Caenorhabditis elegans: one gene and its partner. The protein of the gene in region 2 purifies or fractionates together with the protein of the main gene of each other region. This does not show direct contact. Each region holds a gene or a part of one and is shown on either strand. Other genes may lie near its edges.

Region 1 (5,156 bases), on a different chromosome or scaffold from region 2:
GGATTATACAAATTTAGAAACATTATTCATTCTTTTTAATCATGATATCTCAAAGGATGTTGTTTACTTCAACTTTTGAAAGGATTTTATAGATAAATTGTTATGATTATTTACTTGTTTTGTTTCTTCCTCCAGTATTTAATCTGTGGTCACTTCGTGGTCTTCAAGGCTTTAGGTTCAGCTCATTTTGGTTGTTTAATAGTAAGTCATATGATACGAAGATTCACAGAATGATTTGATAATAATAATAATACGAAATCTCTTTTTCTATAATATTCTCAGAATGTCATACTTCTATAGAATTTATAAATACATTATTACTGTTTTGAAAACCTTTTTTTCCTAATCTATTCGCCGTCAATTTGGCGTTCTTCTAACATTCAGTATTCGAAATCAATGTTCAAAATTTGCTTAGAGAACACCCCAAAATTAGGTTCCGTCCATATCTTGGCTTTTTTCGCCGCCAGATTCAGAAAAAAACTGATTTTCTGTGAGTTCTATTCTATTTTTTTAATTTCTTAAACAATTGGAAATGGTACAGTGTGTTATAAAATAGTTTATTTATTCTGGTTCCTCATGAGAGCACCTCAATAAAAAGTAGTGACGTACATCCATCTGAAACAAAAATAACAATATGACGCCTTCTTAGTAGTACTTATGTTAGTTTCTATTAATGGACTTTTTTTTAAAATAAAAACTCAAAATAGTCAAAGAAATTCTAAAAATGGACATTTGCTAAAATTTAAGAGAAACGATTTCAAAAGATGAAATTATACTTTCCTCCCAACTTTTTTGCTTTTGATAAATTGCTGGCCGAGTTATAACTATTTCTAGGTCACGTATCAGAAGCCGGGTGAGTCTTGAGATCTTCGTGATGCCTTGTCATATCTAAATGAACGAAACTTGAATAAATTAATTAGGAGTCATCGGCTTCATTGAGTTCAGAAAAATTCTGTATAAAACAAAATCAAGATTCAGGTAAATATCTAGATTTTCGATCATTTTGGAACCGCGTTCCTGATATCGAAAAAACTTCGAATCCATTTAAAAGTTGAATAAATCAAATGAAAACTTCCTCTCATTTTTCTTCATTTCTCTCTCTATTTTTCCTTGATTTTATAGGTGATGACGATTCTGATCAACACAAAAATCTTATCACAAACTGTTGTTTCTTATCATTTTTTACACGTTCATACCAGTTTTCATTCCGAGTTCTTGAATTTCATAATTCTTTCATTTCGCCTTTCTATGTAGATATTGAAACTCCGCCCATTTGAGTAGCTCACCTGACTCTTATGACTTACCAGAAGGTTCTATTATCATTTTGGATATAATTCTGTTTTCTGATTCAAATTTTTTTTGAATTTCGGCAATGCACAACGAAAAATATTAATTTCATATATAAAATCATCTGTACTATTTATTATTCTTTATCCCAAATCAGTCCTTTTTTGTGGTCGTTGCTTTTTAAGCTCGGCCCATTTTTTTGGATTTTATTCTAGCCTAACATCTCCTCCCATATTTTTTTTAATTCTTCGAAATTTCAGTTTTAAAACTACGAAAATGGACGATTTTCCTTCACCAGAACCTACTGATCCCAGACTTGAGGCAATGGCTCAAAAAGTGTTAGAAGAAACTATTATCACTGAAGGAGATGTATGTTTTTGAAGATTTGAAACTTTTTTTTTGAATTTTCAACACAAATAGTCTCGCTGGCTACTTTTAAAAATTAAAAAGCCATCTGCAAATTTTAAATTTCATATTCTAGGCCAGCCGGCGAGCAAGTAAGTGAACAAGAAACTTTAAAAAAGAGCAGAGTTGAGAGATACCGTATCTTGATCAAACATCAAATGTCCAGACATATTAGCGAATTTTTATTTTAAAATATTTAGAATCAACCTACATAAACATTAACTTATACGTTTTCTAATTTTAGAATGTGTCTCTCAAATTAGCCTTTTCTTTTAAAACAGGAAACAATTTTTTTTCAAAAATAGTAATACTTAAAGAAACTGAAAGGATATTTACGACAAAAGGTTTTAATGTATGTTGGAGACTCGAAAAGATCCAAAAAAAAAATAAAGAGAAAATTACAGGAAAAGAGAAAAGCCCATATCTTGTTTTTTAAATTTTGTTATAGTAAACTTTTCCTAAGAAATTCAAATCCTTAAAATTGCCCTATTTGAAGTGTCAAGCTATCCTCAACTATTTTTTAGGGAACAATCTACTGGGCTCTCAAAGTTACCCGATTACTCTCTAGAGTAGCTAAAAAACACCAGTGCTTTGAAGCTTTCTACGATGCCGTTATTAAAGGTGATCCAAAAACACGATGCTGTCCTGCACACAATGAGAAACTCATTGGAAACTTTGGACGAGCTATCATGTGTGTCTTGAGAGCATTCAGATTTCCGGTTATTCGATATGAATCTCAAGTGAAATCAATATTAACGTGTCGACATGCATTCAATTCCCATAGTCGGAATGTTTGTCTGAATCCGTATCATTATCGATGGGTTGAACTACCGACGTGCCAAGTTCCACCAATTATTGTAAATAAGGAATTGGATTACGGTGAACCTCCGATTCGGACTGAGGATGCACTGGATGATTGGAATCAAAAGGATTTGAAAGAGGAACAGGTGGTTGCAAGTTGGGATGTGCCAAATGTGACGATGAGAGGAGATGAAATTAAGGTTTGTTGAGAGATGATATCCCTTTTTGAACTCTTTCCAAAATGCAAAATCCAGTAAATAAGTTGCAATTAATCTTTTTTTTTCTTTAGAAATTTTGGAAATTTGCAAACTTACCAAAAACGTTGACTGAAATATTTGCACGTATTTCTACAAAACATCCACTGTCACCCCCTCACATTCAAAAATAAAAATTTCAGCTTCTCTATGATCGATATGCAGCTGAAAACGGAGATTTTCAATATATGAATTACGGAAATTTTGGCTCTTTTGATGGAAGTCCGTGTAGCTCTACCACGATGTCATTAGGATCATCTTTCGCATCGTTACTGCAACAAAGTAATCGACAAGACGACGAGGAACCCGGATATTATAGATCTGGACTCTCATCTCCAGCTAGGTACGAATTTCACTTTTTTGGAATTTTTTTGTTTTTACAATACTGATTCAACAATCTAAAGAACTGGCTAAACTGAAAGTAGAATTCGAAATTCGACCTAAAGGTTGAAAAAAAAATTAAATTTGGCGGTCGGGCCGACGAAACTGTTGAATATTGGAAAAAATTGAAATATTAGTTTAGATCTATAAAACTTTAAATTTACAGTCATGCAGCTTCTCCTCGAGAGTTTATTCCAAACGGAAATGATACAATAAGTCTGGATCAAGAAATGATGGATGATTCCGAAGTTAGTGACATCATGCATTCCGAGAATTTTTCATCAGAGAACAATGGAAACCGAAAGCCAACGTATGCAGATGGACGGCCTATCACACCAATTGAACCTCGACCACTCTATCGATCTTCGGCATTAGAACTTGGAGATCTGTCACGACAGGCTGGAATATATGAATGTGTAGAATATGAAGAGTCGCCGAGTTGGCTGAAATTAATTTATTATGAAGAAGGAACGATGATTGGAGAGAAAGCCGATGTAGAAGGGCATCACTGCCTGATCGATGGATTTACAGCTAGTCGCACTGACTCAGAAACCAGAAGGTTTGTATCATTGACAGAAGCCCTGGTCTAGAACTTACACGCATCTGAATTTTAACTACATTCACTAGTGTACACTGAACTAAAACATAAATTCAAGTAAATATCAAAATAACATCATTACAGCCGTTTCTCGCTTGGTTGGTACAACAATCCAAACCGCTCTCCACAAACGGCCGAAGTTCGTGGTCTCATTGGAAAGGGTGTTCGATTTTACTTGTTAGCTGGTGAAGTCTATGTAGAGAATTTGTGCAATATTCCTGTTTTTGTACAGTCAATCGGTGCAAATATGAAGAATGGTTTCCAATTGAATACTGTATCAAAGTTGCCTCCAACTGGAACTATGAAAGTTTTTGACATGAGATTATTCTCCAAACAGCTGAGAACAGCAGCTGAGAAGACATATCAAGGTGAGAGTGAATTAGTAATTTCTATTATATCATATTACTTTTCGTCCAAAGTACGGCTATTGTGCGATATATCAAAATTGTCAACTAAAAATAATTTATAAAAAGTTTTTGACATTTTTTGGTGTATAGTTTTTACCGATGCAACTTTCGGAGAATACGAATTCTCAAACCTTCTAGTCAGCTACATTTTTTTTCTTCCAACATTTCAGACGTCTACTGTCTCTCACGAATGTGCACAGTTCGTGTTTCGTTCTGCAAAGGTTGGGGAGAACACTATCGTCGTTCAACCGTCCTCCGATCGCCTGTTTGGTTTCAGGCTCATTTGAATAATCCGATGCATTGGGTCGATAGTGTACTCACTTGTATGGGAGCTCCACCACGTATATGTTCATCCAGAACTTAGCTTCTTTCTTTGCCAAAATCCTAATCTCCAATTTGCGTGTGATCAATTTTGTTGATAGAGAAAGGTTTTTATTTTACTCTAAAACATCAAAACGAGTTTTAAAATTTTTTATTTAAAAATTTAGATTTTAAACTTTTTCTGTGTATTTTTACATTGTTTTTGAGGGCTTTAGAACTGCTCGAGATTTCTTTTTGCAGCTTTTAAACGACTTATGTCAACTTTAAAAGTGTTTACAGTAGCCAAATATTCTAGAATCCTTGGAAATGTAATTTTGGTCTGATTTTTTCCGATCGAGCTTGATGGATTAAATTTAATATTATCAAAAAAAAAAACACTTTCAAAAAGCTGCCAGGATATTCACTTAAATATAAACCCCCTAAAATCCTTGGAAATCATCAAAATAGTTATCCGAGCAGTTTTACGTCCGTCGAAAGTAGTGCACAGTTACGCTTAAAATGTTTCAGATCGAAATTTTATTTATCCAGAAAGTGGCTTAGAGTTTTACAGTGATCTGTTTTCAATAAGTAATTTAGTATTTAAAAAAAGTTTCGTTTTGATATTGGAGCGTGAAATCAAAACCTTTTCTTGCGAGAGTGGAGCACTTTACTTGTGAAAGGATCGGTTGAAAGGAGGAGGTTCTAAGAATTGTAGATCTAAAT
Region 2 (7,521 bases):
TTCTATGAAACAGAAATTCCTTTTATTTTCGTAAAGATCCTAAAAGCTGACACGACAATGACTGCAAACGTAAACTTGTGGATCAATGGATCAATTATTGTTGGAAACTCAACGATTGAAAATTTGGATTTTAAGGTGAGATGTTTCATCCAATCATCTATGAATCATTCTTACTGAAGCTATGTAATTTCAAGTCGTACGACGTACGCCAAATATTATATGTTTTTATGTGTTTTTACAAATGGTAATTTAATCGAAACGTAAATTATTAATAGGCCTTTAAAATCACCAGAAAGCTCAAAATTGTAAAATAAAGAGGTTACGTAAAATGTAAATAGGCCCAATCTATCCCAATCTTCCACACTAGTTTAAAACATTTTGGGTTAAAGATGGAAAAATTTGAACTTGGGTAAGACTTGAATGCGATTATATGATATTTCACCAAGAAAATTGTCACCAATTTATTTTTTTGGAAGCCGGCCTGGATGTTTCAGTTTTGAGGTGCTAATCAAATTGTCATATTTCAGCTCCTTGAAACAAAAATCAACGATGTCGACCAAGATTCATTTTCCGACTTGGGATTATTTGGTGCTGAATTTTTAGAGAAGCTTCTCACTGAAATTCTTCAAATGGGAATTGCTCTGCCAACCATGCAAGGTGTAATTCTGAAGAGTCCAAAGTGAGTTTGAAACGAGCTCTATAATATGAATTTATTATAATTTCAGATTAACTTTCCACGATCGTTATCTGAAAGTTTCAACATATTTCAAACTTGACGAGGAATACGCAGGAAGTCTTGTCAGAGGAGCTGTTGGAAAAACGTTACGTGGACCATTGTGATGAATGACAAAGTTACCAAAAAACAGAAATATCGATATTTAGTTACCGGTTTATATGTACATTTCGAGAAAAGAATACTGATGAATATATAATAAATAAGTTATTATCTGCGAAACTGTTTGAAGAAATAAGGACAGTTTTCATCTCCGTAATTTGCAAAACTGCAAATAAAATTAAATATTTGCAAGGGACCAAAAATTGTTTTTTCTGTCGAATGTATAATATGAGAGTTTCGATTGAACGTGTCAAGTCTTTCATAGAGATTCTATTCAACAATTCAAACAATACTTTCAATCGAACAGGTATCATTTCATTCGTGATCATTCATTTCAATATCTTCTTGATCGTCAAATAAACTTATCTTTTCAACGTTTAACTTTCGTTCACATTACCAATGTACTTTTCTCATTTTTCTTTTTCTGTGGTTTTTAATCATTTCTCTACTGGCCAAGCTCCACCATTAATCTCAATCTGACAGAATATTATTTTGCTGAATTACAGGGAATCTTCAAAACTGGATCCAAATTATTTGCAATCGAGGGTTGTCCAACTATCGAATAATTTGTTATGATCAAAATTCTAGTCGTTTTTAAAGGTACAATTGGGTCTATTACTGGCTTAACAACCTGATGTGCATCGTTTAGTAATGTCAATTCGTATTTATTTGTCTCATATTGAACCCTTCCTAGTCACGCCACTTCACATAAAACCATCACCATGGAGTCATTGCGTTTCTATGTTTTTCTGCTCATTTTCTACTCTTTCTATATACTTTTGGATGTGACTTGATCATCTAAAGTCTCGCTTTTCACACAATTGTTTTTGACTTTTTCATTCAAAGTGCAAAAATTGTGTAGTAGATGTTTGATTTGTTACCTGTTATTCAAACAATCCATAAATCGGCACCCTTCCGTTTATATTTTGGAGATTTGTTGTTTCGAACACACATTTTTTTGCAGAAACATTTATAATGTCCAACGAACAAGAAGATTTTGGATCACTTTTTAACAACCAAGGAGAGTTAGGAATCATGGACGATTTTGCCGAGTTTGGGTAAGTAAGTTTTTAAACGGGTGATGCTGATAACATTTATAATCGTACTTTTTACGATGTGTCAAGATGTCTTAACCGTGCAATAACAGTTGTCTCTGCGTCTCAATTCCCGCATTTATTGTAGATCATATGGGACATGGAACAGCCTGACACCACGTGATTTTTCCGATAATAGTCACATTCAATTATGTTTACTTCTGTTTTTTAATGAAAAATAATTTGTAATTTTTCCGTGTCAAATAGTTTCCTAACTCCCGGCTGTTAACAAACTATTATAAAAGTCGCTCAAAACTTTTTTCAATGCAATTTTAGTTATGTAAACTTATAACAAAAGTAAATTAAAGGTGACTGACTATTTTTAGTCCAATATATATACCAATGTTGACAGGGTTTTACAAACTGGAAGCTATTTTTGATGATTCAAGCTTTTTATTTCAAAAATCTGTCTGACTTTTCTGGACTGCTCTACTCTATTGAAACTTTAAACTCAATTTTACAAAAAACAAGTAATTGAACTGTTTTCTCGGCTTGAAAAAAAACCTAGAATGTTCCAATTATTAGGCAACACCACTAAGTTATATCAGTAACTTCAACAAAACGTTTCAAACCAAATAAGTTTTATATTTGTCCAGCACACTATCACTTCCCCCGTAGACAGTGAGATGGAAATATATTGTTAACCTGACTGACTCGTTCCGACTTTTATAAGACAAGATGCATATTTCTCTCTCCGCCCTGTCTACGCATTTCTGTGTCTTGATCTTTTGAACCAAAAAGTTTACAACGGATGTCCTGGGGCGGAAACAATAAATACCTCTCTTTCTCGTAGTTTGCAACGTACCCGCTCTTCTTGAGTTCACCGGAATCAAAACACAATTATTGTATTTGCCCCTGTCTTTTCCTCATTTACATTTTGAAGTTTCCCCAAAAGTTCAGTATCGTGGTTTGTTACTCAATTTGCAATTCCTAGCAATTTTTAAAAAATTATGAAAGAAGTCCCCAAATATTCCAAGAAATTCAGGAAAATTTGATGAAAAATAGGGAAAAAACCACAATGTTCTCTTTTTAAATTTTTCAAAAAAAATTTTTTGTAAATAATTCGAAGTTTAGACTCCAACAGGCACAATCAAACAAACATCTAAAGCCGAAAATTATGATAATTTGTTTATCTCTACGAGCCTTTTATGAATCTGATCTCTTAACCCAATAAACGAATAATATCTTCTTGATCTATCTGACCTTTTCGTGTTACTGTTCTCGTCTCTTTTCCTGCAATCGGCAAATATTTGAGCACAGCGCAACAGATGGACCACACTTTGTAGACAGAGCCACGTTGCAGTGTTCTAGAGTCACACTATTTTAGGGGTTTTCGGTATGGATTTTTTTATCGATTTTTTTAAATTTATTAATTTTTATTCAATGAAATTTCCAATGTTGAAAAACATTAATTTGTTGGAAAGATGAAAAAATTAAAATTTCAGAGGGTAACTAAAAATATTTCGAATTTTATTTCGTAACTACCCCTCCTCGAACTATTCTTCTTCCGAACGGTAATAACGAACCTTTTGTCATCTTTCCCTAACCTTCTTTTGTTCATTTCTCTTATTCATTCAAAGTAGTCGTCATTGAAAATACAATTCAGATGACGTTCTCAACCTCGTCTTTTTTTCCATTTCCTTCTATTTATCGATCACGTGCTATCGTTCCCTATTACGCGCTCACTCCAACTTTTTTCTTCCTGTTAGGAGCAGAAGCTCACGTGTTGCCGATGCTCTGAGTATATTCGTTCTCTATTTCTCTCCGTTCTCTCTCTCTCTCTCTCTCTCTCTTCTCTCTCTTTTTCTCTCTTTTTTCCCATTTCTTTCCTCCTTTCACTTACATTTGTTGTGACAGAAAACACACACATACATACCCTAACGCTCACTCTCGCTCCTCTCCTCTCTCGTTTTTCCTATCTAGTTCTCAAAATATTTCTCACGTCTCTTCTAGTTCCAATACTATTTTTTTAACCGTCGACTTTTATAAACTGATGTCAGAAACGAGCGCAATTCCAAAAAGAAAGAGTATGACTGACGTCAACAAAGGTGAAAGTTCTTGATCTGTTTCCAATACTCATATACATATATTTATTTCAATTTTCTTCAAAAACTCTATATTTGGTTCTATTCTGCCAGATCTAGTTTTTAAAAAGGAACCATAGTTCGTTCCCGAATATGAAAAAAAGTTAAGTAGCAACATTTAATTTACCGCATCATACATTATCTAACATTAGATATATAGTTGAATACACTTTTTTCAAGAACGAGACAGCACCTGTCTGGCAACTTCACGTACACTCTTATGAGAGATAACAATCTAAGGTCGTGAGACTTGCCCTATAACAAGTCTAGTCGACTTTTTAATTTCTTCTAATACACCTGTTATGACGACACGTTGCTAGACTCTGACAATAAGGAAACTAGACCTGAAGAAAAAGTGAACATATTTTTTAAATGATTTTGTGTTTTTCACTTAGAAAATCGAATGATTTCAGTACATTTATTTTTATATTTATTTATCAAATGAATATCCCAAAACTATCTTCCTTCTATAGCATGCTGATAGAGAGCAAAAAAATTTAACTGAACCGATTTCAAAACCTCTAATACGACGTCATTATTTCTTATCTATAGGTATTCTGGCATTATTATGCACTCAATTGACTTTTTCTCTATTTTCACGTCAGCTAATTTCACCAACAACCCTCATATTCGTAATCCTTAGATAATCCCTTCCTTATAGGATCTCATTATCTCATAATTATTTCATTTTGTATTAATATCAAAGCCAACCGACTTCCTTGTTGTTTTGTGTTTTTCTTAACTCGTTTTAAATATTCGACTTTTCAGTTTTCAAACTACAACAACACCCACAAATTGGGCGGCTGCGGGGAATTATATGTACCCAGGTGAGTCAAATTGTAGACATGACAAAGTTATTGGAAAACTAGACAGAAGTGGCTATAACTGCAAAAAATATATTTATAAAACAGACGTTTTCAGTTCCTGATCTCAGAATGCCTCAAATCACATAAAATATAAATATGCTTCAATTTTTTGTTAGAAAACAATTATAAACATGAAAAATATCTTTAAAAATATTTCGTATGATTTCGATGTTTTTCAGACGATTTATTTCCGGTTTGTCATATGATTTAATATGAATCAGAAAGTTCTAAAACGAAAATTATCCAGCTTAAGTCCCTCATCATCCATATGAGTCACCGTGATCACAATCACTTGGGAAACAAGTTTCTGACTAATTTAACATTTGGAATTGAGCTTTTATTTTATTGTTCAAACTGATATACAAAAATTACAGATCAAGTTCACTTACCGGCAAGCATCAATAATCCAAACATGCCAATAAACGACTGGTTGGAAGATGCTCCAATGCCTGATTGCTATAATGTTCCGTCAACATCAACTGATGAAAATAATGATCCGTTTCCATTTTCAAATATGTACGTTTATTTGAAAGTTATACACATTCACATACCTCTTTTTTTAGCTCAAGCCAATCTTCTTTGAAACCAAAAACTCCTGAAAAGGCAGTAGTTGAAGTACGTCCTACTGGAAACGAGATGTTGGATCCTGAACCCAAATATCCAAAAGAAGAAAAACCGTGGTGTACCATATTTTACTACGAGCTGACTGTTCGAGTAAGTTCAAAATTATTTGAGAAAGAATTTCAAAAAACGGATAGCATAACAATGATATATTTTCAGCTAGGAAAAGCATTCGAAGCCAAAGTCCCAACAATTACAATCGATGGTGCAACTGGAGCAAGTGATGAGTGCCGAATGTCGCTTACATCTCAACCATCTTCGAGAAATTCAAAAAGCTCACAAATCCGAAACACAGTTGGAGCAGGAATTCAATTGGCATATGAAAATGGAGAACTTTGGCTAACTGTACTGACTGACCAAATTGTTTTTGTACAATGCCCATTCCTGAACCAGACATTGAATAAGCCACTGAAATATGTGTTTCGGTTGCAAAACAAAGGAGATCAAAAAAGAATGAAAATATTCGATAAGGAGCAGTTTGAACAGGAGAAAACATTGGCTCTCGGACCTTTAACTGAAAAAGAGGTGGCTGATGAACGAATGAGAATCTTCTCCAACATCAGAGTCTCTTTCTGTAAAGGATTCGGAGAAACGTATTCCCGTTTGAAAGTTGTGAATTTACCGTGTTGGATTGAAATTATCTTGCATGAGCCAGCTGATGAGTATGATACAGTGAGTTTTTAAACTTTAATGTAATTTTTCCTAAATTAAAAATATAATATTAAAACACAATTTCCGATAGTGCGGTCCAACTGCAGCTGAAATACCCAAGATCTCTGAAAATGTTGTACACCACTGAGCCGACTACTGAATTTTACTGGCTAGCAATTTTTGTATAGGCTTAAAGTATCTCCATTGAAGATTAAAGAATCGATTTTTTAGCCACCTGGATTCTTTCGGTGAATCAAGGCTATATTTGTTTCCGAAATAAATAGATAAATTAAAAAACTTCATGAAAGACAAATAATTAATAATTATATTCACATTTGTCTTATCCGGTTCTATTTATAAAATAATTAAACAAAATATGACTATTTCAATCATTAAAACAAAAACACAAAAAATTCAACATATGATCTAGTAATGGAATTAACTGTTAAGTGTATGGCATAGTTGAGACCATTTTGAATTTGAATTTGAATTTAAATTTAAACACTTGAAATAACACACAAAATTGTTTCAAGTAATTAAAGTTCCATTAATAATCTTCAGGTTTTCCGTATTAATAACGAACGGCCGGAAATAGGATCCCGATCATGATTGCTTCAATATTTTCACTTCAATGATTGGTTCTAAGCATTCGAATGCGTACCCGTTTGATTAATATTTCCATTTCTGTCCCAGTTTTTAATTTTCATTTCTTTTGGTTAAAAAATTCCCAGTCTCTTGAATGCTTTTCTAAAATCTTTAATTCAATTATTTATTAGAATCTTCTGTTTTGAGAACTTTGTAATGTAATTAAATAATTTGATGAAATGATTATGAATGCGAATAAATTATTAAAATAATATTAATAATACATTTTTGGTGGAAAGGAGAGGAACCTGAAACAATAAATTAGAAATCTGACGACAAAAGTGTCAATTGTGGAAATAAATAAAATGAGATGATCCCGTATGGGTTGGAAATGTCTTTAAATGTAGGATGAGCACAAAACTAAAAGAGCAAAGAAAACAGAGAACATTTTGAGAAAAATTAAGTCATAGTTTAGAAGAATTTCTTGCTTTTACAAGAATCAATAAAATGGAATATGAGTTCACAGCTGGCGTTTGGAGCATACATCTGCAAATAAGGAAAATTAACATGATTGTGAAAAAGTGATTTGATTAAATGTGTCTCTGTTGTAACACCAACAACAGGAATTCACAAAAGAGCACCAAAAATACGTAACAGATAGGCACGTAGTCACTCCTAAATGCCTACCTGTAGTGGCAGCCTTGATTTCTATATTTTAAAATTTACCTGCAGGAAGGGACAGTTGCCTCTCGCCCATTTCGAGACATCTTTGATACTAAAACTCT

What was found. The genes of interacting proteins can lie anywhere in the genome.
Region 1: the proteins of daf-14 (region 2) and daf-8 purify together in Caenorhabditis elegans (affinity purification with western blotting, with the first as the bait; one study listed by BioGRID). This does not show direct contact.

The regions. Positions count from the first base shown.
Region 1 is NC_003279.8:8,583,897-8,589,052, reverse strand, and holds daf-8 (Smad protein daf-8), read left to right. Parts: upstream 1-1,545; 5' UTR 1,546-1,563; coding exon 1,564-1,656; intron 1,657-2,216; coding exon 2,217-2,693; intron 2,694-2,890; coding exon 2,891-3,090; intron 3,091-3,294; coding exon 3,295-3,687; intron 3,688-3,810; coding exon 3,811-4,094; intron 4,095-4,303; coding exon 4,304-4,497; 3' UTR 4,498-4,629; downstream 4,630-5,156. UniProt on the Caenorhabditis elegans protein: Probably a receptor-regulated SMAD (R-SMAD) that is an intracellular signal transducer and transcriptional modulator activated by TGF-beta-like daf-7 signaling.
Region 2 is NC_003282.8:10,248,836-10,256,356, forward strand, and holds daf-14 (Smad-related protein daf-14), read left to right. Parts: upstream 1-1,791; 5' UTR 1,792-1,810; coding exon 1,811-1,893; intron 1,894-4,781; coding exon 4,782-4,840; intron 4,841-5,253; coding exon 5,254-5,395; intron 5,396-5,442; coding exon 5,443-5,593; intron 5,594-5,659; coding exon 5,660-6,172; intron 6,173-6,712; coding exon 6,713-6,760; 3' UTR 6,761-7,017; downstream 7,018-7,521. Other genes in the region: F01G10.10 (BPI2 domain-containing protein), read left to right, coding at 37-135, 528-679, 726-840; F01G10.9 (aECM cysteine-cradle domain-containing protein), read right to left, coding at 7,208-7,282, 7,463-7,521. UniProt on the Caenorhabditis elegans protein: Probably an atypical receptor-regulated SMAD (R-SMAD) that is an intracellular signal transducer and transcriptional modulator activated by TGF-beta-like daf-7 signaling.